Elephas maximus indicus: one gene and its partners. The protein of the gene in region 1 interacts with the protein of each later gene in a biochemical or structural test. Links are inferred from orthologs where the notes say so. Each region holds a gene or a part of one and is shown on either strand. Other genes may lie near its edges.

Evidence for each region.
Region 2: the proteins of PRKAR2A (region 1) and AKAP11 form a complex in vitro, tested with the Homo sapiens proteins (2 studies listed by BioGRID, with this or other methods). The link is inferred for Elephas maximus indicus from reciprocal best matches to the Homo sapiens genes PRKAR2A and AKAP11.
Region 3: the proteins of PRKAR2A (region 1) and RAB32 interact in a test that uses a peptide from one of them, tested with the Homo sapiens proteins (2 studies listed by BioGRID, with this or other methods). The link is inferred for Elephas maximus indicus from reciprocal best matches to the Homo sapiens genes PRKAR2A and RAB32.
Region 4: the proteins of PRKAR2A (region 1) and PALM2AKAP2 form a complex in vitro, tested with the Homo sapiens proteins (2 studies listed by BioGRID, with this or other methods). The link is inferred for Elephas maximus indicus from reciprocal best matches to the Homo sapiens genes PRKAR2A and PALM2AKAP2.

Annotation. Positions count from the first base shown.
Region 1 is NC_064838.1:53,375,279-53,382,681, reverse strand, and holds the start of PRKAR2A (cAMP-dependent protein kinase type II-alpha regulatory subunit), read left to right. Parts: upstream 1-4,395; 5' UTR 4,396-4,672; coding exon 4,673-4,922; intron 4,923-7,403. UniProt on the Homo sapiens protein: Regulatory subunit of the cAMP-dependent protein kinases involved in cAMP signaling in cells. Type II regulatory chains mediate membrane association by binding to anchoring proteins, including the MAP2 kinase.
Region 2 is NC_064832.1:38,917,326-38,924,520, reverse strand, and holds the start of AKAP11 (A-kinase anchor protein 11), read left to right. Parts: upstream 1-4,193; 5' UTR 4,194-4,468; coding exon 4,469-4,520; intron 4,521-7,195. UniProt on the Homo sapiens protein: Binds to type II regulatory subunits of protein kinase A and anchors/targets them.
Region 3 is NC_064819.1:217,462,385-217,470,341, forward strand, and holds the start of RAB32 (ras-related protein Rab-32), read left to right. Parts: upstream 1-4,946; 5' UTR 4,947-5,038; coding exon 5,039-5,288; intron 5,289-7,957. UniProt on the Homo sapiens protein: The small GTPases Rab are key regulators of intracellular membrane trafficking, from the formation of transport vesicles to their fusion with membranes.
Region 4 is NC_064827.1:59,082,682-59,089,662, forward strand, and holds the start of PALM2AKAP2 (A-kinase anchor protein 2), read left to right. Parts: upstream 1-3,963; 5' UTR 3,964-3,978; coding exon 3,979-4,034; intron 4,035-6,981. UniProt on the Homo sapiens protein: Binds to regulatory subunit (RII) of protein kinase A. May be involved in establishing polarity in signaling systems or in integrating PKA-RII isoforms with downstream effectors to capture, amplify and focus diffuse, trans-cellular signals carried by cAMP.

The DNA of each region.
Region 1 (7,403 bases):
ATATACACCTTGCTACACACTCCCAATTACTCTCCCCCTAATGAGACAGCCTGCTCTCTTCCTCCACTCTCTCTTTTCATTTCCATTTCGCCAGCTTCTAGCCCCCTCCACCCTCTCATCTCCCCTCCAGGCAGGAGATGCCAACATAGTCTCAAGTGTCCACCTGTTCCAAGAAGCTCACTCCTCACCAGCATCCCTCTCCAACCCATTGTCCAGTCCAATCCATGTCTGAAGAGTTGGCTTCAGGAATGGTTCTTGTCCTGGGTCAACAGGTCTGGGGGCCATGACCACTGGGGTCCTTCCAGTCTCAGTCAGACCATTAAGTCTGGTCTTAGAAGAATTTGGGGTCTGCATCTCACTGATCTCCTGCTCCCTCAGGGGTTCTCTGTCGTGTTCCCTGTCAGTGCAGTCATTGGTTGTAGCTGGGCACCATCTAGTTTTTCTGGTCTCAGGATCATGTAGTCACTGGTTCATGTGGCCCTTTCTGTCTCTTGGGCTCGCAATTGCCTTGTGTCCTTGGTGGTGTTCATTCTCCTTTGGTCCAGGTGGGTTGAGACCAACTGATGCATCTTAGATGGCTGCTTGCTAGCGTTTAAGACCCCAGATGCCACTCTTCAAAGTGGGATGCAGAATGTTTTCTTAGTAGATTTTATTATGCCAATTGACTTAGATGTCCCCTGAAACCATGGTCCCCAGACCAATGGGTGGGGATTTTTATCCTCATTTTACAGACACGGAAGCCAAGGCTCGTACAGGTAAAGTGATCTGCCAAGGCCATTGGCAAACTGGTAACAGAATGGGTGTTAGTGTCTGGGCATCCATAGGCCTGAAGAAGGCCTGTGATGCTATCAGACATTGTTATGGGCTGCTTAACCTAAGCTCCAGGAGGGCTGTGTGTACTGTGGGATCAAAGCCCAGGCACTTGGGGTAGGACACAAGTCTCAAAGGCACTGGGAAGGCCCCTGGGCTCCCTTTTATGGCTTCTCTATATGGTCAGTATGTAGGCCTCTGGCTCCCCAGCCAAGCTCCTTCATGATTCCCAGGTTCTGTCCTAGCCCTGAGGTGTGCCAGAGGCAGACCTTGGGTCCACTGCAGACTTTGACACTTTCTCAGGACACAGTATCCTAGGAAGGGGGTTGTGGCTTGCAGGTGCAGAAACAGGTGCCTTGGGAATTAACTGCTCCTGGAGCATGGATACTTGTTAAAATAGACCAGACCTCCCAGACCAAAGGCAATGGCCTCATGGGGGAGGCCCCACAAGGGCTGAAGGACAACTTGGGTGAGAGCAGACGAACATAACTCCCTTCCCCAATCCCTCCTGCCCACTGGAAGCTTCTAGGTGAAATAAAAACTGGTGGTGTTAGGTACTAAGTAATCTAAGAGGACTGGATCAGGGAAGGGCTGGCATACAGAAGTGGTCAGGTGACCAGCAGGTCCCAGGAGACATGTGGGGGGCTGGAGTGGCTAAGGGCTCCTTTGGGCAGGAAAGAGCGAGGTGTTTGTGCTGGGGTTGAGCCCCCTCGGCAGGGAGGGAGCATCAGAGAGGGCACAGGATGTGTATAAGCTGGGGGTTCTGGGCCCAGAGCAGGCCTCCCTCCAGAAGAATCCCAAAGAGTTTAGGCATACTTCCTGAGGGAGGGGGGGAACAAATCTTAATAAATCCATAAAGAGTATATGAAATCCTCTGTTTCACTGGAAAACATAGTTGTACCCTACCTGTGTTCATTTTCACTGAGTCCCATTGCTATCAGGTTAAACATGACTCTACCTGGGTTATGCTGCCTCCATGGTTACAAAATCTCTCAGAATTGGGGCCCATGTGTCCATGTCTGTGCCTGTGGCTGGTGGCGTGGCAGTTTGTGCAGATGTTGGTGGATTGGGTTGGGTGGAGCACCCCTTAGGGCTCTGAGGCTGCCTCTTCTCCACCATGGCCTCTGTATTTCTCTTGAGGATTTCAGCTCCTTGCCTTTTCCACTCACTGTCGCTTGGTGTTGGCATCTGTTTCCCAGCTACTGGCTGCCTGTGGGTTTGGTTTCCACGGTAACCCCCAGTGGTACAGCTGGACAGGCTTGAATGCAGGCAGCCCTATGAGGGTAAGAGTAGAGGAATCAGGGCTCAGGCACCCGGTGTTTGCTCCTGCTTCAGGGCTCACTTCCCTGGACAGCTCAACTGGGCATGCCTGACGGCCCTTGGGGGTCCACTTGCTACTGAAGCAATGCCTACCTAGAAGGGGCAGAGATGGACCCCTTCTCTGGGGACCAGATGCTAAGGGAGGGGAGCCAGGTTGGGCCTAGAGGCTGGCTGTCCATCCTTCCTCTGTGTATGGAGACAGGTGAGGAGCAATCTTGTGGTTCCCCACTTTCTGTAGTGGTCCTCACTCCCCCCACAGATGGAGGTGGATGGCCAAGTTGTGGGGCATCTGAGAACAAGCCAGATAGATGATGGGCCTGCTTCTGGCAGAGGCCAATGGGAGTTGTTTGGAGTGATTAGGAGGACCTACTGGAACCCAGCTCTGCTGTCAGCCCTGAAGTAGCCTCTCTCCTGCTTTCATTCACAGCCTCCCTCTCCCATTTTCTAATTAAGGTCAGAGTCCTAACTATACAGATGCCCACTCCCCTTGAAAACATATAAAAACCGACAATACGGGCAAATTACATAGCAGAATTGTGGACCTACCTTTCCAAAAGTCTGCCTGTAGGATTGCTTGACAAGGGCAGATCCCCAGGTGTGGTGGTATAGTGGGAGTCCCACCTAGGTTTCCTGGGTATCAGTCAAGGGCTGACCCTCAAGGGGACCATTTCTGCATGGAAAACTTGGGAGGGTCAGTCTCCCCAAGAGCAGGGAAGAGTTGTGGGGCCCAGCTCCTCCAGCTCCTCACTGCTCACCCTTAATGAGGTCTTCGCATTCTGAGCAGAAGCACAGCTTTGAAGCAAAGGATTCCAGTTCTAAGACTGCAGTGTTAGGAGAGCAGTTTCAGTAGCTTTGCTTGCTGTGTGGAAATGTATCATTCATTCATTCAGTAAACCTTATCCAAGAGTGTAAAATAAGAACCCAACAGAGAACAAATCAGACACTGCCCTTCTCTCACAAAGTAAATGACCTCTAAGATTCCTCCCAGGAGCCAAGGAACTTGTCCAGGGATAAACTGCTGTTTGGAATCACAGGGCTGCCTGGCCTAGAGCCTGGGCTGGCCTCTGCACCAGCAGGGATCTGGTGCTCCTGCTGCCAGGAACTCAGTTCCCAGCAGCATTCATCTGCTGAGTGTGTGCCAAGCCAGTAAGGGAGGTGCTAGTGAGAATTTTAATTAATACTGGATAATTACCAGGTGGAGCTTAGCCATTCCCAATGCCCTACAGGTTCCCAAGCCTACGGTTAGTTCCTGGCTGGGTCCTGCAAGAGAAGGAAGACTCTGTCCTAGGCCCACTGGGCCTTTGGTCGGCACCTAGGTTGTGGCATGGATATCCCAGGAAGGTCTCCACCTTTTTCTATTGCCTTCCAATCTGGTGGGAGTAAGGGCAAGTTGGGAAATAGCCTAGCCTCTCCAGTTTACCTGTGTCCCCCCACCAGGTACAAAGGATAACAGTGTCTTGTCTTTTCAACTTCATCAAGCAGTGATGGCCAAGGGCCTGGGATAGGGTGCAGAGAGGGGAGGGGTGTGCAGACCTAGACCTGGGGAGCCTGGTGGGAGTCATCAAGAGAAGGAACTGGCATAGAGGTCGCTCTTGCATTGGGCCTTATTCCCTTTTCTTACTGTTTGGCTGAGTGAGCTCTTACAGGCTTATTTCTCTGCAGGTAGGTCCCAAATTACTATCTCACTGAAACTCCTACTACCTACAAAGCCTTCCCCTTCTGACATTTCAGACTTCCTGCCAGCCTCCCGAGCGTCCTATGATCACTCCACCATTTCACCCTGAGGCCAGGGTGATCCTGACTCTTCCAGGCTTTGCTCTTACTGTTATGTGTGCTCAGATGGCTTTCTTCCAGATCTTCCTGTGACTGGATCCTGCTCAGGGCTCCGGGCAGCTTGAATGTCACCCCCTAAATTGGGCTCTTAACTCTTCAACATAGTGGGAACCACGCGCTGCGATAGTCGTGTTTGCCCCTGCTGCCTGCCCAGTAAGCAAACAAGAGGCACTTAGCGTGTGTTGAGAGCATAAATGAAAGGTCTTCATGACCGGGTGAGAGGCATTAGCCAGCGCCCAGCCTCACACGTAGACCATTCATTCCTTCATTCGCCGGTGCCCAACCGAGAGGCAGCTGCGGGAGACCTACCCCACCACGACCCTTGGCTGCCCGGGGAGGACAGCTGCCCAGCGGCGCACGCGCACTGCGGGCTGGCGCTCGGCGGGGACGCGCACGCCCGCGGCCGCGTGCGTCACAACCCGGGAGCCTGCCCCGCCCCTGCCCGCCCGCGCGTCGGTCTCCGCGGCGGCGGCGGCGGTGGCGGCCCAGTGACAGCGGCGGCGGCGGCTCCAGGCCGGGGGAGATAACGCAGGTCGCGCGGCCCGGAAACGCCGACCCGGCCGAAGCGCGGCGCGGTGTGAGGAAGGCCGGACCGGGGCCGAGCGTGAGGAGACCGTGCGGCCGCCAGGTGAGGGGCCGGCGTCAGGGAGCGCGGGAGGCAGTGGCCGCCGGCGGCCCAGACCCGCCCGTCCCCGCGGCCACCGCCGGCATGAGCCACATTCAGATCCCGCCAGGGCTCACGGAGCTGCTGCAGGGCTATACGGTGGAAGTGCTGCGGCAGCAGCCGCCCGACCTCGTCGACTTCGCGGTAGACTACTTCACCCGCCTGCGTGAGGCCCGCCGCCTGGCCCCCGTCCCGCCCGCCGCCGCCCCTACTCGCGTTTCCTACGGGCCAGAGCCCAGCCCCGAACCGGTCGCCGATGAGGAAGACGAATCGGAGGACGAAGAGGACTTGGAAGGTAGGCGGCGGGCGGGGCCGAGGTTCGCTGGGGGACGAGGGGCTGTGCAGGGGGTCGCTAGAGGGCAGAGGACCGCGGGGGGCCGGGCGTCCCGCGGGGGCCGGGCGTCCCGCCGGGGACCGGGCGTCCCGCCGGGGGCCGACCGACCGCCTGGGCAGTGACCTCAGGGGTCTGGAACGGAGTTTCTCGGGTGTCCCGGAGCCGCCAGGGTGAACCTCGCGCGCCCCAGTTCCAAATCGAGCTCCAGGGCCCTCAGAACCGTAGAGCGCACCGAAGGGTTTGTCAGATTCAGCGGTGAAGGAAACGTGCGCGCCTTCAGCCGGGTGGTGGCGCGGAGCGCACGCCGGCCTCGTCCGAGGAGCCTTCGCCTCTTCTTGAGGCCCGTCTCGTTTTGTTCTGAAGACAGGAGCACTAGCATCGGTGATTCATATTTGATTTTCTGGACGGTAACCTTGTTTGGTTATAATTAATTTTCCGAAAAACTTGCAGCATGGACAGAAGTAGAGAGAAAAAGTAAACCTCTGTATACCCATCACCCAGATTCTGCAGTTGACAGTATGGTTCATCTAGTACTTTTTCTTTTTTGCCTTTGTTGAAGTATATTAAAGCAAATTCCAGACAGATTATTTCACCCCTGCGTACTTGAGTATGTATTTTAAAATATAGGCTCTGGAAATATTCTTTATTTATGTTTTTTTAATTTGGTTAAAACAGTTGAATTTAATTTTATGAGGGTGAGCAGAATAACAGTCTCTTCTTTGCGTTTAAAAAATTTTTGATAGTTTCTGCCGTTATACAATCAGTTTTTAAAAATAAACTAAAAATCTTGATAAATGTGTGGGCTGCAGAAAAGAAAGATAACACTTTTACATCTGATTTAAGCGAGGATGTCAAGAAGCAATTCCATTTCCTTGGTTGCTTCAATATAGGCTTTATCAGTTTGACGATAGAATTATCTTACTTTTGAACAGCTAAAATTTAACATAACAATTAGGCAGGCCCATAAAACGAGACTAAATGGGCACACCAGTCCAGGGGCAAGGAAGAGAATGCAGGAGGAGACAGGAAAGCTGATAATGGGGAACCCCAGGTCGAGAAGGGGAGAGTGTTGACATGTGGGGTTGGCAACCAATCAATGTTACAAAACAATGTGTATTCATTGTTTAATGAGAAACTAGTTTGCTCTGTAAAACCTTCATCTAAAGTACAATTAAAAAAAAACAGCGGTGAAAACACTTGAGAGACAAAGTTAGAGCCTTGGAATTGAAGTTCTGCATTGTTCAGTTCTGGCCCCCCATTCCACCCACTGCTAGCAAGGAGTTGATTGCTGTAGGAGGTTGTAAGCATCAGGACAAGGTCCCTAAGTTTGTTCATGCTAAAAGAATAGAAATTACTCTTCTGTGTTTCCGTTGACTTTTTGCACATTACATTATAGGTTTTCATAATAAATCTGGAAATCAGAAGTTGTTTTCCAAATCTCTCCCACAGATTTACTTTGTGATTTTGGACAAATTGTCAAATGTGTTTCATTTTAGATTTACTTATCTTTAAAATAGGGACAGTGACAGCAGTATTCCAGGGATAGATGTGTTTTTTTAAGAGTTTTATTTTAGGAGTGACTCAGGGTTTTTTTTCACTGTCATTCTCTGTAAATCGCAAAGTTGTAACTTGTTTTGCCACAGTTTTTATTTACACAAAACATTAGAGGAATATCTTAAAAACTACCCCCTTAAGTAAAAGAGTTTCACATTTTTTGTATTATGTCTTTATTCTTTGTCATGTTTGATATCTTTTTCAAAATTGAGTTGATTTAACATGGGCTTTGGTCTTTTTGACTAACCCCCTTTTATAACATGTTTAATAAAAAGCTGAGCTCTTAAAAAAAAAAGTTGACGTAAAATCTTTGTAACACTGTGCTCTATTGCTGTTTAAATTTTTTATTTATGTCTCAAGTAGTTGCACTATGTGTAATTATAGAAATAAAAGCTATACATAAAGAAATGAATTTCTATTTATAAATAATAGATTAAAAATACATTCCACATTATTAGAGTAATAAGCCCCCACCACCTAAAATTAGATCAGATATACCCATTCTATTTATAGAACTATGTATAGCTAGGAGGCTTTGCTTAGTAAGATCCTGTATAATGGCATGACTAACCATCATTTCCATTTATAAATTGCATGCTAAATAGGAAATAATTAAGTAACTTATTAGCTGTTATTTGTTTTAGTAACAACTTAGATATCAAAGAGCATATCAAAATATGACTATTAAAATGAATATCTAACTCTTGGGAAGGCCTGAAGAATTCAGACTTATTAAGTTACTCTGATTGCATCATAAAGACAGTAAATTGGCATTCAGACTTGATTCACTTCTGAAATTACCATAAAACATTTTATGCTTGTGGTTCTCCTCAGCATTTTTTTGTAACAGCTTTTTAGAGATTTAATTCACATTCCATATAATTCCCT
Region 2 (7,195 bases), on another chromosome or scaffold:
CAGTCCTTTGGGAATAGAGTACAGATACTTCAAGCAGCACGTAAAAAGACAAAGTCTAGAAACAAAGTAACTGCTAGGAGAATATGGACTTTGTGAACTAGATGAATTTAATGACTTATAAGGAGCCGTGGTGGCACAATGGTTAAGTGCTCAACTGCTAACCAAAATGTTGGTGGTTCATGGTAGAAAGCAGCTCCATGGTAGAAACACCTAGCTATCTGCTCCCATAAAGATTCCAAATCCTCTTCCATTGATTCCAACTCATAGTGACCCTAGTGGACAAAGTAGAACTGCCCCATAGGGGTTCCAAGGAGTAGCTGGTGGATTTGAACTGCTGACCTTTTGGTTAGCATCCTGAGCTCTTAACCACTGTGCCACCAGGGCTCAGCCTAGAAAACCCTATGGGGTAGTTCTATTCTGTCACATGAGGTCGCTATGAGTTGAAAATTGAGTCGATGGCACCCAACAACATATAAAGTACTAAAAAAAAATAAACAACATCTACACAATACTTGTATGTGAATGTTCGTAGCAGCATTATTCATAATACCCAAAAAGTAGAAACAATTCGAGTGTCTATTGACTGCTCAATGGATAAATAAAATATGGTATATGCATACAATGGGATAGTATATAGCAAAAAAAAAAAAGAAAAAAGTTCTGATATTTGTGATTGACATATTATATAACTCCATTTATAAGAAATGTCCAGAATAGGCAAATTTATAGAGATGCAGTCAACAACAAAGTAGCTCAGTGAGTGCTTAGGGCTGAAGAGGAAGGGAGTTGACTGCTATTGGGGATGGGGGACAAAATGATCTAAACTTAGATTGTGGTAATGGTCGCACAATTCTGTGAATATACTAAAAACTATTGACTTACACTTTAAATAATAGGTGAATTGTATGACCTGTGAATTATATCTCAATGAAGCTGTTTTTTTTTTTCTTAAGAAAAACCAAAAAGAATGCAGGAGCCAGGGACATCTATAGACATGGAACTCATTAATCTTAAATTTCTTCTCATTTTATATATTCGTTGTACTTCAAATAATTATAGCACAGGAGACCACAATGGCTGTCTTGCTAGAGCGAGCTGGGAGGACTTACAGCTCTAACACAAGCTAGAAACGTACAGTCGAGCCCACCCTTCATCTAAATTTACAGTACCAAGCAGCTGTTTCAGTTCATCACACTGAGGGCTGCAGAAGACACAGAAACAATGGTCTTAATTTGCTAAAATACTATCTTCAAAGAAAATCATTTTGCTTTTAGTAAGTGACCCTACAATATTTGTTGAAATTTTGGTTTCATTAAAATTAAGGTGTTCTTTTAAGATATTGCCTCAGACCTATTTAATATTTATTTTCTATCTATTTTTTTAGCCCTGATTAGGAACATGTGAATCATTATTTATTAAGCAATACATTGGTTTAAAATAGCTTCAGAGAAACGGAATATGAGGTTGAGCAGGTGGCAATACTTCCGTTTTCACACTCGGAGAAGGCCAAGGTTTCTTAGGGAAGCACGCCTGGTATCTGTATTAATCAGTTTCATAGTTCCTCAGCCGGGGTGTGTGTTTGCGTGCGTGTGTGTCCAATTTTATTTGGTTTGTGCTGCCGGCTCTGTGAGGTTTTTTATGAAGATTCATTTCATTTCCCTTTCCTGCTTCTGTCCTACTTGCGTGAGAGTGCCAAAGTGTAATCCAGGCTTGACGACTTTGTGTGTAGGCTAGTTAAACTGCCTTGGTTGCTGAATGAGGAAGTTGAGATCTAGTGATGATAAAGTATCTTGATTTAGTTGAGTCACTAGGTAATGACCGGCCTGGAGCTGGAATTCAAGTCTCCCGATTTCTGTCTTGTAGTGAAACACCCTCATGATTTTCCAGCCTTCAGCCTCCAATATTCTCAAACCTTACACTTAGGAACAGCCATCTACATTGGACCTCACTTTATGTTACTTTTTCTCAGAACTGATTTTAAGTATGGACAGAAGACGTGGTTATCTATGTGGTATAAATGGAAGGAAGAAACCAAGGGAAAAATGTGGCCCTTCCTTTTGGGCCATTCATTTCCCAATAAAAAAAACTCCCACTTATCTTTCTGTAATTAAACAGCAATACCAAACTAAAAAACCAAACCTGTTGCAGTAGAGGCAATTCTGACTCCTAGCGACCTTACAGGACAGAGCAGAAGTGCCCCATCAGGTTTCGAAGACTGTAATCTTTTCGGAAGCTGACTGCCACATCTTTATCTTGCAAAGTGGCTGGTGGGTTCCAACCATAAACCTTCAGGTTAGTAGCTAGCACTTAACCACTCCACCACCAGAGAAAAAAAAAAGGCCAGGGCTTCCTTAAATAGCAATACGTCATGATTTATCCAGGTATTTTTAACAAAGGTGGCAAACACCAGAGTTCTGACCTAATAGATTTTAGGAGACAATGGCAAGGTCATTGGAAATTAAGTCTTTACCGATTGTTTCTCACCTGTACTACATGTCTCTTAATTGATCTCCCTGCTTTCGCTTTGGCCTCCTTAACGTCCATTCTCTGCAGGGAAGAGTTTTTTTTAAAAAACGTAAACCATACGTGTCGCTCCCCTACATAAAACCCTCCAGTGCTTTCCATTGCACTTAGAATAAACTCTCTTTACTTTCTGGGCTTACAAAGCCGTACAGGATCTGGTCCATGTTTGTTTATATCCCCAAACTCATTTCCTCTTCCATTCTTTTTTTTTTTCCCCCCTCCCTTGAACGCACCAGAATAAGTCCCAGTTTTGGACCTTGGTGTTACCGGTTTCCTGTGCCTGGAATGCCCTTCCCTCCGATTTTTGCATCACGGTTACTTAAATCGCTGCTTAACTGTCTCCTTCCTGAAGGGCCTTACCTGAAATAGCCACCCAATCACAATCACCGTCACATCACCAAACTGCTCTTCGCGCAGAGCAAAACGTCAAGTATCCCCGACACCCCCGTAAGCTCCCTGGAACGTACACTATTTATCTTCATCGATGCTCAGTCGACAGCCTAGAGTAGTGCCTAAAATAAATGCAGGAGCTCAACAAAAATCTGTTGAAGAATGTACATATGAATGCATCTCCCCCGGCCCTGTCCTCCAAACAGGGCAGCATTTGACTCAAGGAGGATACACTTAAACACGTCTTTCTCATCTTATCTGGTATTTTCACCCTTGAGGAACAGGCGCCCCAGACAGCGCAACCTGACCGGCCCTGCCGCTTCTAAGTGGACATAATCAGCGCCCTAGCTTTTCATCTCGTGCTAGGCTTCTCCGAGCCAAAGCTTTCCTTTCCGCTTCCCAAACCACGTAAAACCGAAGAGGTGAGCATTAGGGCCTGGGAGCCCTTGATGCTAATTCCTGCGGCGCGGAGAGGGCCGAGGGCCTGATGTGCTGTGAGTGGTCCTCCCCAGAGATGCAGGGAGAAGGGGCGGAGTCATCCCGAAAGGATGGGCCAAGTAAGGCCCGTCAGATCTGGTGGGGCTGCTGCCTTGGGAAGGGCTCAGAGCTTCAGAAGAAAGCAAAGCGGGCCTTGAGGCGAAGAAAAAGTCCAGCTGGCCTCAGGCGGTAAGACTATGGGGTCGAAGGGAAAAGAGGCAGGGCCTGAAACCAGACCTGCGGAGCTAGCCGAGGCGTGGTTATGCTCCCAGAAGAAAGGGTTAAACCGTTTCCAGGGCAACACATCAGGAAGCGCGCAAGACGTCCGGCGCTGGTTCGTAGGTCGGCCTCGAGTTAAAGCCCCCACGGCCGAACGGGTTCCGGCCAATGGGGAGAACGCCTGGGCGTCACGTGAACGGTGGGGCCGATCCGGAGCTGTCTACGAGCACGTGGGAAGGCTTTTCCTTGTTGCTCCTTTCCTTTTTTAAAGCCCACCCACTTTTGCGCGGGCTTGGCCACAGTTGCTCTCGCGAGAGGCGCACCACCCTCTCGCGAGAGTGAGTGGGAGGCGTGGGGAGTAGGCAGTGTCGCGGGCTAGAACTGCTGCGGCGGAAGGCGAGGGGGTGGGCGGAAGGCGAGGGGGTGGGCAGGGCGGGGAGGGCCGCGGGTGGGGAGGGGGGAGGGCTGGGGTCCGGTGCGGGAGGGGCGCCTGCCTGTTCGCCCCGCTCGCGCGGCTGGTCGTTGCGGGCCGGTGACATGCCTGTGAGCTGCTAAGGCTGCGGCCCCCAGGTGAGCCGGACGCGGACCCCACCGCGGCGTAAGCAGCGCGTTGGCAGGGGAGGCGGCGATGTGTGGGGCTAGGATGGATGGGCGGCCCGGCTCAGGCGCCCTAGCCCGGCCGCCCGGGCTTCGGGTTCGGGGCCGCCGGACAGCTGCGCCTTCGAACGGTGGTGGGAGGAGGGCGGGAGGAGCGGCGCGGAGGAAGCCTGAGGTGGTCCTCGGGGCTTGAGACGGATGAACCTGGGATCCGGGCGAACCTGGGATCCGGGCTGTGGCGTTGCAGCTGCCACCTCTTGGGATGGCAGGTTCAGTTTCCATCCCCGGTGTGTCGTCAGAGCCGGGTACTCCCGGTACGTGCTGGTTTGTGTTGCTGGTGCGAGTACAGGAGCAAATGCAGGAGGACATTGCAGTTTGTCCCCAAACATCATCCTTACTGTCAGGCTCCTTGAGCCTTGGAACCAGGCACAGCCCAAATCTTGTGACAGAAACGGAAGGCGTCAAGCAGCTCTTCAGAGAACTCATATTTGGATTGGCTGTAAAATCCTTTCCTAAACTGTTAATCGCTTAAACGCTAGTTATCCAGTATTCCAAGGAGTCCTGGAGATACGGTGGTTAAGCGCTGGGCTGCTAACCTAAAGGTCATCGGTTCGAACCCACCAGCCGCTCCTGGGGAGAAAGCTCTGGGAGTCTGCTTCCCATAAGATTTACAGCCCTGAAAACCCAGTGAGGCAGTTCGGTTCTCTCCGAACATGTCGCTATGAGTCGGAATTTGACTTGAAGGCAGAGGGTTTGGGTTTATCCAGTATTCCAAATGGATTGTGTATCTTGTTATTCCAGGGATCTACAAAGCTGATTTATAAAAATATGTAGTTGTAACTCGTTTTTTAAAAACTATGGCAAAATGACAATGACAGTAAAATCTAAACCACTACACTGATAGAACGTGGCATTTCTTCTGTTTTCCCTCTCTTCTTAAACCTTATTAAACGAAGTGGTGTGTCTTAAGATGTTCAGGAATTTCAGAATGAGCAATACTGCGGAGATCCTTATCTAGCGGTCTTAGTGCAAACTGGAGTTAAAAATTCTGTTTTCTTTTCAGCTTCGTAATTATTCAGTCCCTTGGAAAATTCTAAAGTTTTCCCCTTAGCTTCTTCCCACTTTGCTAGGAGTGTTTTGATAGTCTGAAAATGAGAAAATACAAAGTACTCAGAATAGGGTTCTCAGTAATGCAAAGATGGCTTCGTTTTAATGTCTTGTTTATGATTTTAGAGTAAAGGGCAGCATACTGCCTAGCGTGATTGGTGTCAGTTAAAATAGTGTAGCGCAATTTAATGACCTTTTCTGAGTACGCAGTCGCGTTATTGCAAATAGTACCCTGGTTATTCATACGGTGTTCCTTGAGGCAAAAGGGTAACCTCAAAATTGGCAGTGAATGTCATGATTAACTGTAGTTGTGAATAACAGTAATTTATGAGAGGTCAGAGTGTATGGAAAAATTTGGAAACGGATAGTAGTGATAGTTGAACAACATGATGTTTGTAAAAGTCACAGCATGTAAGAAATGTTGAAATAGATGTTTTGTTATATATTCATCACAGTTAAAAAAGGGGGGGAAGGGTGTAAGGGAATTGGAAGAAGTGAGTTCCCAAGCTGAGTTAGTAACCAGTGACTAGTGTATATACTATACTTCTGTCTGCACTGTTAACTGCAGTTAATAACTGCACTGTTGATAAGTACGTAGTCATACTCCGAGGCCAGTGATATTTCCCAGTTGTTTAGGATATAGTACTTGTTTAAAATCCAGAACAGCAATGAGAAATTCTCTATCCTCTGAACTCCCAGGGGAAGTCTAGAAGCTGAAGAAATACTCCTTTGCCCTTAAACCCACTGCCTTCGCGTCGATTCCGACTCATAGTGACCCTAGAGGACAGAGTAGAACTGCCCCATGGGGTTTCCAAGGAGTGCCTGGTGGATTCCAACTGCCGACCTTTTGGTTAGCAGCCATAGCTCTTAATCACTACACTACGAGGGTTTCATGAGTGGAAGAAGGTCTCTCTCTAAATGTATGTGTGTGTACACACTTATGTGTGTATGTGTGTATAAATATATATATATATATATATATATATATATATATATATAGGGTTGCTAGGAGTTGTAATTGACAGCAATGGGTTTATAGATACAGATACATATACGTATACACGTACGTACTTTTTTTTTAAATTCCAGAAGCTTATTGTCCAAAAAATTAAACCAAATCAGATAATATATTACAGGTCATTTAAAGGGAATTTTCCAGTTATAAATAGGCAGAGGCGTTCTGCCCAAACTTGGAGAAAATGTGAAAAACTTAGGAGCTGTCCTTTTGTGAATGGACAAAAAACCCAGTCGAGATTAGAAAAGTTCCGTCACATTCTATATTGGTAAATTTATTTCAGGGATAGAAAAACAATTTTTTTCATGGTCTCTCTAACCTTTTTTTGGGCAGGAGTTTCAAACTTGTGAGATGTTTGTTTTGTCTGTCCTTTGAAAAGTAATGGAGGTAGCTCTGTACTTACTTTGGTAAGCAGATTTATTATTATTTTCGGTCTAGTGACCTGCATTTTAATAATAAAATCAACCACTTAACCACTTGGAGGGCATGAGGGCTGGGGACAAGTCACTAAAAGATCTAAGCCTAGCCTGGACTTGAGTTAAGGATGTGTAAATTGATAGTATGGGAGAAGGGTGCAGAAAATACATTATCAGTTTAAAACAGATTCGACAGCTCCAAATGCCTTTATTCTTGTACTCATCTTTATATACGAAAGTTAATTTTATTTTTAAATACTGAGGTAAAGTCAGTTGAGACATATAGATTAGAGACTGATAAAGGAGAAAAGTTAACACCTTTTTTTTTTAGTAATCTGAGAATGTTTTATAAAAAAAGTAAATGTTGTAGTAGTCCGGAATAGAGACAATGTTGCTTGAATGAAAATGAAGTAGAGTGTGAAGAGTTTGGGTTTTAGAATTAGACAGATCT
Region 3 (7,957 bases), on another chromosome or scaffold:
TTAAAGACGTGGATTGAGTAAAGCTTTCGGGACCTTCATTTGCTGGTGTGGCACGACTCGAAATGAGAAGAAACAGCTACAAACATCCATTAATAATCAGAACCTGGAATGTATGAAGTATGAATCTAGGAAAATTGGAAATCACCAAAAATGAAATGGAACACATGAACATTGATATCCTAGGCATTAGTGAGCTGAAATGGACTGGTACTGGCCATTTTGAATCAGACAATCATATAGTTTACTGTGCTGGGAATGACAGCTCGAAGAGGAATGGTGTTGCATTCATCGTGAAAAAGAACGCTTCAAGATCTATCCTAAAGTACAACGCTGTCAGTGATAGGATAATATCCATATGTCTACAAGGAAGACCAGTTAATACAACTATTATTCAAATTTACGCACCAACCACTAGGGCCAAAGATGAAGAAATAGAAGATTTTTATCAGCTGCTATAGTCTGAAATTGATCAAACATGCAATCAAGATGCATTCATAATTACTGGTGATTAGAATGTGAAAGTTGGGAACAAAGAAGAAGGATCAGCAGTTGGAAAATATGGCCTTGGTGATAGAAACAATGCTGGAGATCGAATAATAGAATTTTGCAAGACCAAGAACTTCATTGTAAATACCTTCTTTCACCAACATAAACGGCGACTATATACGTGGATTTCACCAGATGGAACACACAGAAATCAAAATGACTACATCTGTGGAAAGAGATGGTGGAAAAGCTCAATATCATCTGTCAGAACAAGGCCAGGGGCAGACTGTGGAACAGACCATCAATTGCTCATATGCAAGTTCAAGCTGAAACTGAAGAAAATCAGAGCAAGTCCACAAGAGCCAAAATATGACCTTGAGTATATCCCACCTGAATTTACAGACCATCTCAAGAATAGTTTTGATGCATTGAACACTAGTGACTGAAGACCAGACAAGCTGTGGAATGACATCAAGGACATCATCCATGAAGAAAGCAAGAGGTCACTGAAAAGATAGGAAAGAAAGAAAAGACCAAGATGGATGTCAGAGAAGACTCTGAAACTTGCTCTTGAGCATCGAGCAGCTAAAGCAAAAGGAAGAATTGATGAAGTAAAAGAACTGAACAGAAAATTTCAAAGGGTGGCTCGAGAAGACAAAGTAAAGTATTACAATGACATATGCAAAGAGCTGGAAATGGAAAACCAAAAGGGAGGAACACTCGGCGTTTCTCAAGCTGAAAGAACAGAAGAAAAAATTCAAGCCTTAAGTTGCAATAGTGAAGGAGTCCATGGGGAAAATATTAAATAACTCAGGAAGCATCAAAAGAAGATGGAAGGAATACACAGAGTCATTATACCAAAAAGAATTAGTCGATATTCAACTATTTCAAGAGGTGACATATGATCAGCAACCAATGGTACTGAAGGAAGAAGTCCAAGCTGCTCTGAAGGCATTGGCAAAAAACAAGGCTCCAGGAATTGATGGAATATCAATTGAGATGTTTCAACAAACAGATGCAGTGCTGGAGATGCTCACTCGTCTATGCCAAGAAATATGGAAGACGGCTTCCTGGCCAACTGACTGGAAGAGATCCATATTTATGCCTATCCCCAAGAAAGGTGATCCAACCAAATGTGGAAATTATAGAACAATATTTTTTTTTTAATCATTAATATCACACGCAAGCAAAATCTTGCTGAAGATCATTCAAAAGTGGCTGCAGCAGTATATCGACAGGGAACTGCCAGAAATTCAGGCTGGTTTCAGAAGAGGACATGGAGCCAGGGATATCATTGCTGATGTCAGATGGATCCTGGCTGAAAGCAGAGAATAACAGAAGGGTGTTTACTTGTGTTTTATTGACTATGCAAAGGCATTCGACTGTGTGGATCATAACAAATTATGGATAACATTGCGAAAAATGGGAATTCCAGAACACTTAATTGTGCTCATGAGGAACCTTTACATAGATCAAGAGGCAGTTGTTTGGACAGAACAAGGACATACTGATTGGTTTAAAGTCAGGAAATGTGTGTGTCAGGGTTGTATTCTTTCACCATACCTATTTAATCTGTATGCTGAGCAAATAATACGAGAAGCTGGACTATATGAAGAAGAACAGGGCATCAGGATTGGAGGAAGACTCATTAACAACCTGCCTTATGCAGATGACACAACCTTGCTTGCTCAAAGTGAAGAGGACCTGAAGCACTTATTGACGAAGCTCAAAGACCACAGCCTTCAGTATGGATTACACCTCAACATAAAGAAAACAAAAATCCTCACAACTGGACCAATGAGCAACATCATGATAAATGGAGAAAAGATTGAAGTTGTCAAGGATTTCATTTTACTTGGATCCACAATCAATAGCCATGGAAGCAGCAGTCAAGAAATCAAAAGACACATTGCATTGGGCAAATCTGCTGCAAAGGACCTCTTCAAAGTGTTGAAGAGCAAAGACGTCACCCTGAAGACTAAGGTGCGCCTGACCCAAGCCATGGTATTTTCACTCACATCATATGCATGTGAAAGCTGGACAAGGAATAAGGAAGACCAAAGAAGAGTTGATGCCTTTGAATTGTGGTGTTGGTGAAGCATATTGAATATCCATGGACTGCCAAAAGAACTAATAAATCTGTCTGGGAAGAAGTACATCCAGAATGCTCCTTAGAGGCAAGGATGGCGAAACTGCGTCTTATATACTTTGGACATGTTGTCAGGAGGGATAAGTCCCTGGAGAAGGACGTCATGCTTGGCAGAGTACAGGGTCAGCAGAAAAGAGGAAGACCCTTGACGAGGTGGATTGACACGGTGGCTGCAGCAATGAGCTCAAGCATAACGATTGTAAGGATGGCTCAGGACCGGGCAGTGTTTCGTTCTGTTGTGCGTAGGGTTGCTATGAGTCCGAACCAACTCGATGGCACCTAATAACAACAACAACAACGTGTGTACATCATACTTACCTAGGAGTGGTGTGTGTGTGTGTGTGCGTGTGTGTGTGTAATGCAGATTCCTGGACTCTCCCTCTAAAAGATCTGAAACAGAAGGTCTTGTTAATTAGGTAGCTAGTTTTCCAGGTTAGTCAGGTACACAGCAGACATGGGAGCTGCTGAAATCTAATCTAAACTCCTGCTACTCAACATACGATCCACCAACTGTACTGGCACCACCTAGGAATTTGTTAGGAATTCTGAATTTCAGGCCCCTATCCTAGATATACTGAATCAGAATCTGCACTTTAACAAGATTTTAGGTGATTCATATGTGCTGTTAAGCTTGAATAGCAAGCATTGATCCAGGGTAGTGTGGCCCCAGACCTAAGCACCAGCATCACTTAAGAACTTGTCAGAAATGCAAATTCTCTGCCTGTGTCCCAGGTCTTCTGAATCGGAATCCCTCTGGGGTCAGTTTGTAAGCTGTTAGAGCAAACCCTTGGTGTACCCTCAAGTTTAAGAACCACTGATCCAAATTACTATCCTGCGTTTAGCTATGACCATTTCCAATTTTAAATCACCTCGTATGATTTTTAGCACCATAATTCTATTTCTAATGTCAGTGAAAATCTAGGAGAGTTAGGGAAAGCAGGAACTGACAAAAATCTACAGTAATATGTATATACGGAACAATACGCTGCGCAAAAGGTAAGAACTGGAGATTCCTCTTTTTCAAAGTTGGAGATGATATTGGAAGGGCTCTCTAAGTGGGTGAACACAGAGGCCACATGGCTGGTTGGCCATAAAACTTGCTAAGAGCAGCTCCGTTATTTTTCAATAGTTATTCTAGAAAAGGTTTTACTCCCACTTTGACTTCTAAATTTTAAAACGCCTCCACCTCTGAAAAAACATCTTTCAATGGCTGTCAATTATAGTGAGGACAGCAGGATAAGCCACCACTTTATTTAAAGAAGCTACCAGAGGATATCAGCTCCAGGTGTTTCTAAATATAAGAGCGGGTGTAGGGGGTGTCCCTCAATTTTATAAACACAGCAAGCAAGGTAAGGCTTCCTATCTTTCTTCAAAATAAAAGTCCACAATACTAGCATTTTTCATCCTTTCCCAGGATATAACTCAGAGTTTTTACATCTATTTTAAACTCATCGGAAGACTTAAAAAAGACTTTCTGGGAAAGGAAAATAAAAACTCAAGTCAACAGATAGCTCTAAAGACCCTTGTCTCTCTATTGGGACTCATTCTTCCTTCATTTAGATAGTAAATCTTTATCAGTCTTTTGTTTACTTCGGGATCTTTCTGCCACTTCCTTCCATGTTTTCCAAAGCAGACTGCTAGAGGCCAAAGACCATGACCTCCACGTGCTGAATTCCCTCTGGACAGGAGCTCTGGTTAATAATGGTTAAGAGTTCGGCCGCTAACCAAAAGGTGGGCAGTTGGAATCCACCAGCCGCTCCTTGGAAACCCTATGGGGCAGTTCTATTCCGTATGGCATGGTCGCTATGTCTCCGAACGCTATGAGTTGGCCAGCAGTTTTTTGTACAGTCGGGGAAGGAAGTTTCTTCCTAGGCCAGCGCCTTCAGCAAGGCTGGGCTGCATCTGGCCAGCCTCAGCGTGCTCTGCGCTCACGCCGGCGGTTCCCCGGTGGCTTGGCCGCCTCAGCACCGCTGCCCGCAAACGGGGAACGCTTGGGCGCCGTTCCCCTCCGCCGGCCCCGGGCAGCGCGGGGCTCCGGGCTCCTCTGTTCCTCTGGGGCCCAGCAGGGGGCGGCCGGGGCTCGGCGCCGCCACAGGGCGAGGAAGGGCCGAGACGGGAGGAAGTGGCTGAAGTCGGGGCCGAGCCCGGGGGAATGCAGGGAGTGGGGAGCGGCCCCCGGGCCCTCCCCCGACCCCGGGCCCTCCCCCGGCCGGCCCCGGCCCTTTCCCCGCCCCGCGCGGGCTCCTGTGACTGGAGGTTCCGGGTCCTGTGACCGGTCAGGCGGTGTCGGTCGGTCGGCCGGCCGGGCGGGCGGGCGGGCCTCGGGGGAGTTTCTGTGGCCAGCCGGAGCTAGGGGCCGGCTCGGGGAAGGGGCTCGCCGACAGCCGCGGCCCGGCCTTGCCCATGGCGGGCGGGGGAGGCCGGGACCTGGGCCGGGGGGCGGCTGCCGACGCGGTGCCCGAGACCCGCGAGCACCTCTTCAAGGTGCTGGTCATCGGCGAGCTCGGCGTGGGCAAGACCAGCATCATCAAGCGCTACGTCCACCAGCTCTTCTCCCAGCACTACCGGGCCACCATCGGGGTGGACTTCGCTCTCAAGGTCCTCAACTGGGACAGCAAGACGCTGGTGCGGCTGCAGCTGTGGGACATCGCGGGTAAGGGAGCGGCCGCGCCAGGAAGGGCCTTCGCGAAGATTCCGTCCGTCGGGAGCAGGGAAACTTGCTCATTTCCTCTCTTTTTTTCTTTCTCCTCTGCCTGATCTTGCCAGTGTGCGTTTAGGAGAAGAAAGAGGCTAAGCCAAATAAAAAAATGCGACAATGGTTAGGTGGACTCTGGTGGGATCAGGACAATGGAACGAGCAGTAGTAGTTGAGAAATTTAAAAGCAGGATAAAATAAATAAATGAATAAATAAATAACCCTGATTAGATGCCTCTGCTAAGTCAGCGGGAAGCCCTCAATTTTAAAAGATGTAAAGACGTCCTCTACTCCAGGATTGTCTCAGGTGACAGAAGGTGGGGAAGCCGTAGAGGCTTTTTCAGAAGTTTTAACTCTGAGTATTGACAAGCCTGTAATACACCAGGAAAGGAATGGCTGCTTTGGGAGAGGCCACCTCCTCAAGTTCAGCTTTAACATTTCACAGATGAGAACTGAAGTTCAGAGTGAGTGAATAACTTACCCAAAGTTACACTCCTAGTTAGTGACAAGCGCTACAGGAGAAACCAGGTTTCAGAACATTTCCATCGTGCGTAGGACACTTTTCTGGGAGTGAAACTCTCCGTTCCTCAAACATCCTGTCCTTATTCAACCGTTAGGTCACCTAGATGAAGATTTGGGGGAAAAGCCGATACTACTATCACGGTTCCTAAACCAATGCCCCTTACCCCTTCAGAGACGTTGTTTCGTTAGCATTTGCTTTCAGTTGTCATTTTGGAGCAAGAGAGTCTTTCTTTTTGAGGGAGTACACATTCCCCTCCCTCTAATTTATGAAAAACTGAGCTCTGGCTGGTGTGGTGAGTGAGACGACTGCCGATGCGTGACCCTGAATGGAGAAAACGTGGTATTATACTTGTGGCCATTTAAAAAGATATTAATTATGGAACTTTGGGGAAATTTTAAATAAGGAAATGGTAGCCAAAACTACGCTGTTCGGTCATGATTGGTGTTAAGAATTAAGCTCAGTTAAGAATTAAGGAAATGGTAGCCAAAACTACGCTGTTGGGTCATGATTGGTGTTAAGAATTAAGCTCAGCCTGCAATAGAGCGTGTGAATGGGAGCATGCTTAAGGTTGGAGGACACCTTTGAACTGGCCTTTCACACATCATAAACTGAGGCCCATGGAGGGCGTGATTACCTAGCTGGCACCAGAGTGGGGGTACACAGGTCTAGTTTAGTGTTCTTTCCTTTTAAAGCCTATTACTTTGAAGAAAGGATTGTAGAATTAAAACCCATATATTCATTTATTTAAGAACAAACTTCACTGCTCAAATTAAAAAAAAAAAAAAGCATATCAATCCCTCAGAGAAAGGTACTTAATCAGCTTTGGGCTCAGCATCTTTTTTTTGTTTTTTTGGTTACAGAAAACCAAAAGTTCGTTTGAAGCCAGAGGCTTCTTTCAAAACACTTCCTGCGATTGCACAGAACATTTAATAAACAGTATTAAATAACTGCCTTGCTTCTTGATTCTAAAGGTTGCGTAAACATGTGACAGTCATTCTCCAGAAATCCTCAGAGTAGCTATGGATTTCCATGAAAATGACTTTAAACCTTTGACTAGGATGGTGGTTGACACTGCTTTATTCTGTATGTGAAAGAGTATGATATATAGCTACTAAATTAGCACTGGGTCCCACTGCAATAAATGAGTACGAACACCTAGATTTTTATGCCATAGTTCCGTTTTTAGGCTTCATAGTCAAATGCTTTTGTTTGAAGATTTGGGAAAACAAAAAGATGACTAAGAGTTTTCTTTGTAGGTATCTAATCTCCTTTTTTCATTCTTCTTGAACATACTTATGTAGCCAGGAAGGGGGCATATCCAGTCTTTCTCAGACCCTGGTACACAGTTGCCTAGGTGACATAGCCTTGCTCTTTTGCCTAAAGCCAAATCTTGAGTTTTGCCAGGAAGGAAGGCAAAATTTGAATATCTCCAAAAAGAATTCCTGGATGTTAGATACTGTTGTTTGGTTCTGGGTACCATTAAGCAAGTATACATAGCAATTAACTAGATTAGAGGTAAGATTATGAGGCATTTATAATTTATTAGGTTCACCTTACAAGGTTTTCAGCTAAAAAAAAAAAAAAAAGAAGTCTTAATATATAAATTAATCAAGAGGCAAAAATAACTTAATTTTAACCAAAGTTAGGGTACCTAAGTCATTAACCATGTTCAGTTCGAATAGTTTAGCTGCTGCTGAAACCTAGTTCGTGCCATTTGAATTAAGTAGTAATGATAGGTCCTATGAGTTGGAATCGACTCTACAGCAATGGGTTTTTTTTTTTTTTTTTTTGATGTAGTGAAGGAAATCTGAAGGCAACTCCAAAAATTTCCCCCATGACTAAACGTACTTGCCTTATGTAGTAAGAAAATTGGGCTTTATTTAATTTTCAGAGAATAGAAGTATTCCTTGACTGCAAAACAGTCGGTGGAGTCAGCCACTTAATATGACTGATTTAAGGTGTTTGTTAGTATTAATTAGGTTTTGTTTTAGAGGTGGGTAAAACGATAAAGAAATTATGTAGAGTCTCTATTCTTGAACACTTTGACAAGTGTGACAGGCAAGAGTTATTTAATATTGGAAGTTAAGCTCAACTGTTCAAATTAA
Region 4 (6,981 bases), on another chromosome or scaffold:
ATGTGTCAAAACCCATAGAACTGTAAACAAAGAGTAAACCCTAATGTAAACTATGGATAATTAATAATAATGTATCAACATTGGTTCATCAGTTGTAACAGATGTATCTCATGAAAGGGATGATGTTAATAATAGGGTAACATTGGTTGCAGTACTCGGCCCTTTCCACCCTGGGTTCCCTGTGTCCATTTGCCCAATTTTCTTGTCCCTTCCTGCCTTCTTGTCTTGCTTTTGGGCAGGAGTTGCCCATTTGGTCTCGTATATTTCATTGAACTAAGAAGCTTTTACAGGCCTGTCTAATCTGTTTGAAAGGTGGGCTTCTGAAGTGGCTTCGTTTCTGAGTTAGCTGATTGTCTGGGGCCATAGTCTTGGGGGTTCCTCCAATCTCTGTCAAACTAGTAAGTCTGGTCTTTTTTTTGTCAATTGGAATTTTGTTCTGCATTTTTCTCCTGCTCGGTCTGGTCAAAGACTATTGTGATCCCTGTCAGAGCGGTCGGTGGTGGTAGCTGGGCACCATCTAGTTCATCTGGGCTCAGGCTGGTGGAGGCTGTGGTTCATGTGGTCTTTTAGTCCTTTGGGCTAATATTTTCCTAGTACCTTTGGTTTTCTTCACTCTCCTTTGCTCCAGCAGGGATTAGACCAATAGTTGTATCTTACATGGCCACTCACAAGCTTTAAAGATCCCAGAGGCTATTCACTAAAGAACAATGTAGAACATTTTCTTTATGAACTATGTTATGACAATTGACCTAAATGTCTCCTGAGACAATGGCCCCCAGCCCTCAGCCCCCACAACTCAGTCTCTCAAGGTATTTGGATGTGTCTAGGAAGCTTCTATGACTTTACCTTGGTCAAGTTGTGCTGATTTCTCCTATATTGTGTGTTGTCTTTCCCTTCACTGAAGTTGACACTTGTCTACTATCTGTTTAGTGATTTCCCCTCCCTATCTCTCCCGTCACTCATAACCATCGAAGATTGTTTTTTTCTGTGTGTAAACCTTTTCTTGAGTTTTTATCATAGTGGTCTCATACAATATCTGTCTTTTTGTGACTGACTTATTTCACTCAGCATAATGCCCTCAAGATTCATCTATGTTGTGAGACATTTCATGGATTCATTATTGTCCATCTTTACATAGTATTCCGTTGTATGTATGGACCATAGTTTGTTTATCCTTTGGCTATTGATGGGCACTTAGGTTGTTTCCATCTTTTTATTATTGTGAATAATGCTACAATGAACATGAGTGTGCATATGTCTATTTGTGTGATGGATCTTATTTCTGTAGGGTATAGTCCTAGGAGTGGGATTGCTGGATCATACGTTATTTCTATTTTTGGCTTTTTAAGGTGGCACCATATCATTTTCCACAGTGGTTGTATCATTTTACCTTCCCATCAGCAGTACATAAGAGTTCCAATCTTCCCATAACCTCTCCAACATTTATTATTTTCTTTTTTTGATTAGTACCAGTATTGTCAAGGTGAGATGGTATGTCATTGTAATTTTGATTTGCATTTCTCTAATAGCTAATGATTGTAAGCATTTCTTTATGTGTCTGTTAGCTGCCTAAATGTCTTCTTGGGTTCTCTGTACTTTCTGTAAACCTAAAACTGCTCCAAAAATAATCTCTAAAAAACACCTCAGGCAGTCTAAGAACTATACCAACCGTCAATTTCTCCAGGTTCTCTCTCAGACCAGAGCAGGAGGGTCACTGCATGGCCTTTATAGGACTATGACCTAACACCAGGATTTTGGCTTTCTGGGAGGGTCAACATAATGCATGACCACATACAAGTTCCTTTCATCTGTATTTGAAATATCAGGGGAAAAAAAGCAAATCTAATAAAGAGATAGCCAAGTATATTTAACCTTCCTATAGACGTCAAGGAGCCCTGGTGGAGCAGTGGTTAAGAGCTTGCCCGCTAACCAAAAGTTTGGCAATTCAAATCCAGCGGCCACTCCTTTGAAAACTATTCTGTTCTGTAGGGTTGCTATGAGTCAGAACCGACTCGACAGCAATGAGTTATAGATGTCAAACTTGTGAGATAAAGCTGGAAATTCTGGGGACTGAAGGTAGCGTTCAGAATCACCGACGCGACCTCACAGCTCCTGTGACAACAAGATGACGTGTTACAAGGAGGCACAAACTGAAAATTGTATTGACTCTTTTGAGAGAGATCATATTACAAACAGACAGCAAAACAATATTTTTCTGGAATTTGTAATAATTGCAGTCTGGGCCAGAATGGAAGAAACAAGCCTTTGGAAATGTTTATTTTAAATGCCAAGAACAAGAATAGTGACTAAAAAAAAAAAAAAGCTATAGAAAGTAGCCTTTGATTAAAACATTCTCCCCGCCTGCCCCCAGCCTCCTTCAAAACCTTCACAGCAGCATTTCTCAACTGCTGTTTCATTACAGCTTAATAAGGAGCTTTTTAAGGTACTTTTCTCTGAATTTTAATACCACAGATATGTTTACATCTGTTTATGTACTGTTTGTGTATCTGTGCTTTATACATAGAAGAGTAAGGTTTTTTTCATTCTTCTTCCCCAAGTGCCAAATGTTCACCCTCTAGGGACTATTGTTCCCATCAAGAATGCATGACTGAGAGACTAAGTGATATTCAAAGCACTCTAGAATCTACTTAGAGGAGTGAATGTTGTCAAATATCTGAAGAGCTTCCCCCACCAACCTTCTGTTGACTGTCTTTGTAGCTTCACACTGAGGGATGCCGTCGTGTCTGGAGGAAAGCCACAGCACTGTTAGTCCATCTGTCTTCCTGCACCCCTCACCCAGTTGCCAAAAGGGTTCTTTTCTCATCCTGGGTTCCTTCCTCAGTAAAGTGTAGGTAATAAGAGTATCTACTTCCTAGAGTTGTTTTTTTGGATTAACTGTGGCCATGATGTAGAGGATTTAGTACAGTGTCTACAAGAGAAAACGTGCTCAATGAATGATTAGTGTAGTTTTCTTTAAAATTATGATTCTTTTTCCACCTTATCTTCCCTGAGAGATGTGCTTTCAGTTCTTCCCCTGGTCCAGATCCATTATTCGATTCCTCTCTTCGGTGATGACTTTTGAGGTCTCTCTTTGGGCTGCCTTTCTTTCTCATCATGCCCCTTTAAAGACAGCTGACCTGACCCAGAAGGGTGCAGATTTACTGCCCACCAGAAATTAATAATATGCCCATGCTTGGCCAATTTGAGCTTGATCTGACATAAGCAAGGGGGCCATGCCCAAGGAATGGCCAGACCAGCAACATGCTGAGCCAACCAAGCCATGAGAAAACTGGGTGCCTTTGCCAGGCCTGTTACACTCCTGTGAGATCCCTCTTCTGGAAAGGAAAGGAATCTATGTATTGACTTTTCTGAGCAGACATAATGTTGTATGCTTGTAAATAATCTGCACTTTAGAGCATTCATCTCTGTGTATTTTCAACTTTAGACAACCCCCCTTGGGAGAATAAAAGTGGAATGAATGCTCTTAACTTCATCAGCTGCTGAGGGATTTCTGTCATGCTGTCTCTCTCACATGACAGGAAACTCTATCTTGTGTTTTTGATTTAGTTCTCTGACAAGCTAGTTGAGATTTGTTTTAGCAACTCTGTTCCTTCTTGCTAAGTTGCGCCAAGAATTCCTGGCCACCTAGTCTTGTGTTTGCTGTCATTTAAACATTATTTATTTTGCCTACCCCTTGGCAGAGCTAAGAAGTTTGTAGGAATGTGAATGATGTTTGGGGTGCATTGCTTGAAGGACATGCAGAACATTCCCTCCTGCAAGTAATCTGTTCTATATCCTTGAGTCAAACCAGATTGAAGAGACTCTGCTGGGTGGGTTGCACTGTCCTGGCTCCATGCAAAGTTCCTTTTATTGAATTGCTCCTAGGTCTGATGCCTTCAGCCTATACTGAGGGCCCATATGGGCAGAGCTCAATGAAGCTTCTTGTTTTGTCTATTGAAGAGCAGTGCCAAGGGCATCATGCTTTCATCCCACAGTTACCTTTTCAGAGAAGTCTCATCTTCAGCACCAAGAAGGTCAGTACTTCTCTTAAATGATTGGTCTATTTTTTTACCTTATGGATGTTGGGCAATGGCATCACTAGGGTTGGTGTCACCCAGTGAGGTAACTCATGGTGTCACTCCCTCCATGGACATCCTCCTGTACCAGACCATATAGAATCCTTAGTAATGTTTTTTGTGCTAATGTAACTCACAAACCGTAATTTCCGTGTATCACTCCTTCTTTTCCGTTAACTCCTACTTCATTCGCAAAAAAGTTATTGATATAGGTTCACAGATACTAATTACCACAATAATGCAGATAAAACAGAAAATTTTACAAGATCAGTGACTGTAAAAACGCCGACAACATCGAAAACAATAGCGGTGCTTGTTGTACGTGAAGATGAAACCACATGGTTCTGAGTGTCATTTTAATTGGATAATAATGACAGCAGCTCTGACGGGAGTGTATTAGAAGGTTCAAAAAGTAAATTAGCACAGAATTTTAGCCTTGTAGGTATATTGATACGCGTAAGCTGGGCTCAGAAAAAATGTTTTTGTTGTTATAACTAACGACAGGGGTATTTTTATAGACAGTCATTTTGCTGTCACCTCCTCTGACAGTGTTACTGGGTGCAGTCTGCTCCCCTCCACTTCCCCAGTGATGCCCCTGATGTTGGTCATTACATATCTGACCATGTTTTTTTCTTGTTTTCGAAGCTGTAATGTTTAGAACCTGTTTGTGGTCCACTATAGCCAGGCCGAGACTCCCTCCTCTGCTCCTTTTTAAAAACTCATTCCTGTCTACTTCCTTGTATTCTCTTTTCTTCTGTACCATTTAAAATTCATGCTCTGTTGGTGAATTTTGGTTTTCTTTGTAAGCTCCCTTATATCCTTTCTGGAGTAAAGTAGGAAACAAGTTTTGTAACTAAATAAATGTTTATCTGGGAGAGGAATTAGCCTAATTTCATATGATCCCAACGGACAAAATGAGGATTCCCTTCTCCTCCCCTCCCTCTTTTTTTCTTATTATTCAACAAATATTTAATATATGCCAACTTTTTGCCAGACACTTAGGTGGCTTTTGGCTATTTAAGAAAGAACTTTATGTCTCTCAGATCGGCCCATATATAAACAATCACCATTTGTACCAGAACTTTGTAATTCACTTTGTGCTTCCACACACATGACCTTGTTTTACCTTTACAGCAATGCTCAATGGTAGGTATTATCATTATCTTCATTGATCAAGAACCTGAGCTTTAACAAAAATCTTAGCCAAAGTAACTCAGCTGCTAAATAGGGGAGGAGGGACTTGCCTCCTGATTTTCAGGTTTCGGATTCTTTGTACGTCCTTTCCATTACCCGATACTCCCCACCACCCGATACTCCCCACCACCCATGGCTTCCCCACTCCTTGTGGAATGGGCATATGGTATCAGTATGAATGTACTTTGTTTCGCTCTGACAACCTTTTTACCCAGAATGTGAATAAGATAAGATTTCACATGGTGTCATTTCTATTTTTATTCTTTGTGAGTTAAAAGCCAACACCAATATGCCAAATATGTTTCTGCTTTCATACTTCAAAGCTTTGCTGTAGGAGCCTTTCATACCGGGACCATATAAATGCTGGTTGGAAAACAGGTGGTTCAGTATGTCAGCTGTTCAAAAGTCTAGGATTCAGCACGTAGTTTTTTGAGTCACCACACACCATCACCTCCACCTGGGAGGTGAGCTCACTTGCTCTTCGTGCCTGTGCATATTGCGTGTTAGCATAGGGAAAGCAAAACCATATATTCCAGAACAAAGCTAGTGCATGTCACAGCATGCCCAACCAGCAACTATTGAGGTGCTCCATTCTCCAAAAGCAATACAGTCATGCGTTGCTTAACATCCACCATATATTCTGTGAAATAGGACGTTATGTGATTTGGACATTGTGTGAATACCATGTATCTGTGTGTGTAACAAGGCCATGTGGGTCTGAGCACTGAGGGGCACCGCCAGAAGCACCAGCTGCTTCCCCTGTACTCTAGCATCACAGCATCGTCCTACACTGCTTCTCTCTCTCTGCTGACTTCAAGTGAGCTCCAGCTGCTTGGAGCTGGACAAAGCCCTGCCGCCTCTCCGGCTGCCCACTCAGCCCCCTGAGACATGAGATTTAAGACATACTAGAGACATGAGATACACGGGTTGCATGCGGCAAGCTGTTGCGTTTGCTACATCTCCTTATGTCTTTTATGTCGATTTCTGAACTCTGTTAGAACCTTGGAGCCCTGGTGGTGTAGTGGCTAAGAGCTCGGCTGCTAGCCAAAAGGTTGGCCATTTGAATTCACCAGGCACTCCTTGGAAACCCTCTGTCTTATAGGGTTGTATTATAACTTATGAGACCACAGGCGTATGTGAGGTTGAACGTGGCCCAAATGGACGTGATGTGGTATGTAACTGTATAAACTTGGAGAGCATTATTTTTTGAAGAGGCGAGGAAGATCCTCCTCACCATGTCTCTAGTATGGAGAAGTAAAAATTTTTAGGTCCCAGGTTGCATAAGATAAGTAGGAGGTTGGCTTGTTATTATTATTTTTAGGATTAGAAATTTGAATTACAGAATATTAAATGTGTATTAGAAACCCTGGTGGTATAGTGGTTAAGTGCTACAGCTGCTAACCAAAAGTCGGCATTTGGAATCTACCAGGTGCTCCTTGGAAACCTTATGGGGCAGTTCTACGGTGTCCTTTAGGGTCGCTATAAGTTGGAATCGACTCGACGGCAGTGGGTATGGGTATGGGTAAATGTATATTAGAAAATGATACACTATAGAAGATATAAAAATAATAAAATAGTCATTCATTCAGCAAGTAGAATATACCCAACATGGTTGATTTTGGTGTCCCTCCTATATCTCATCCGCTGTTTCTCTCACAAAAATAATCAGTATTCTGAATTTTATAAATAATTTTACCACATATGTATACAT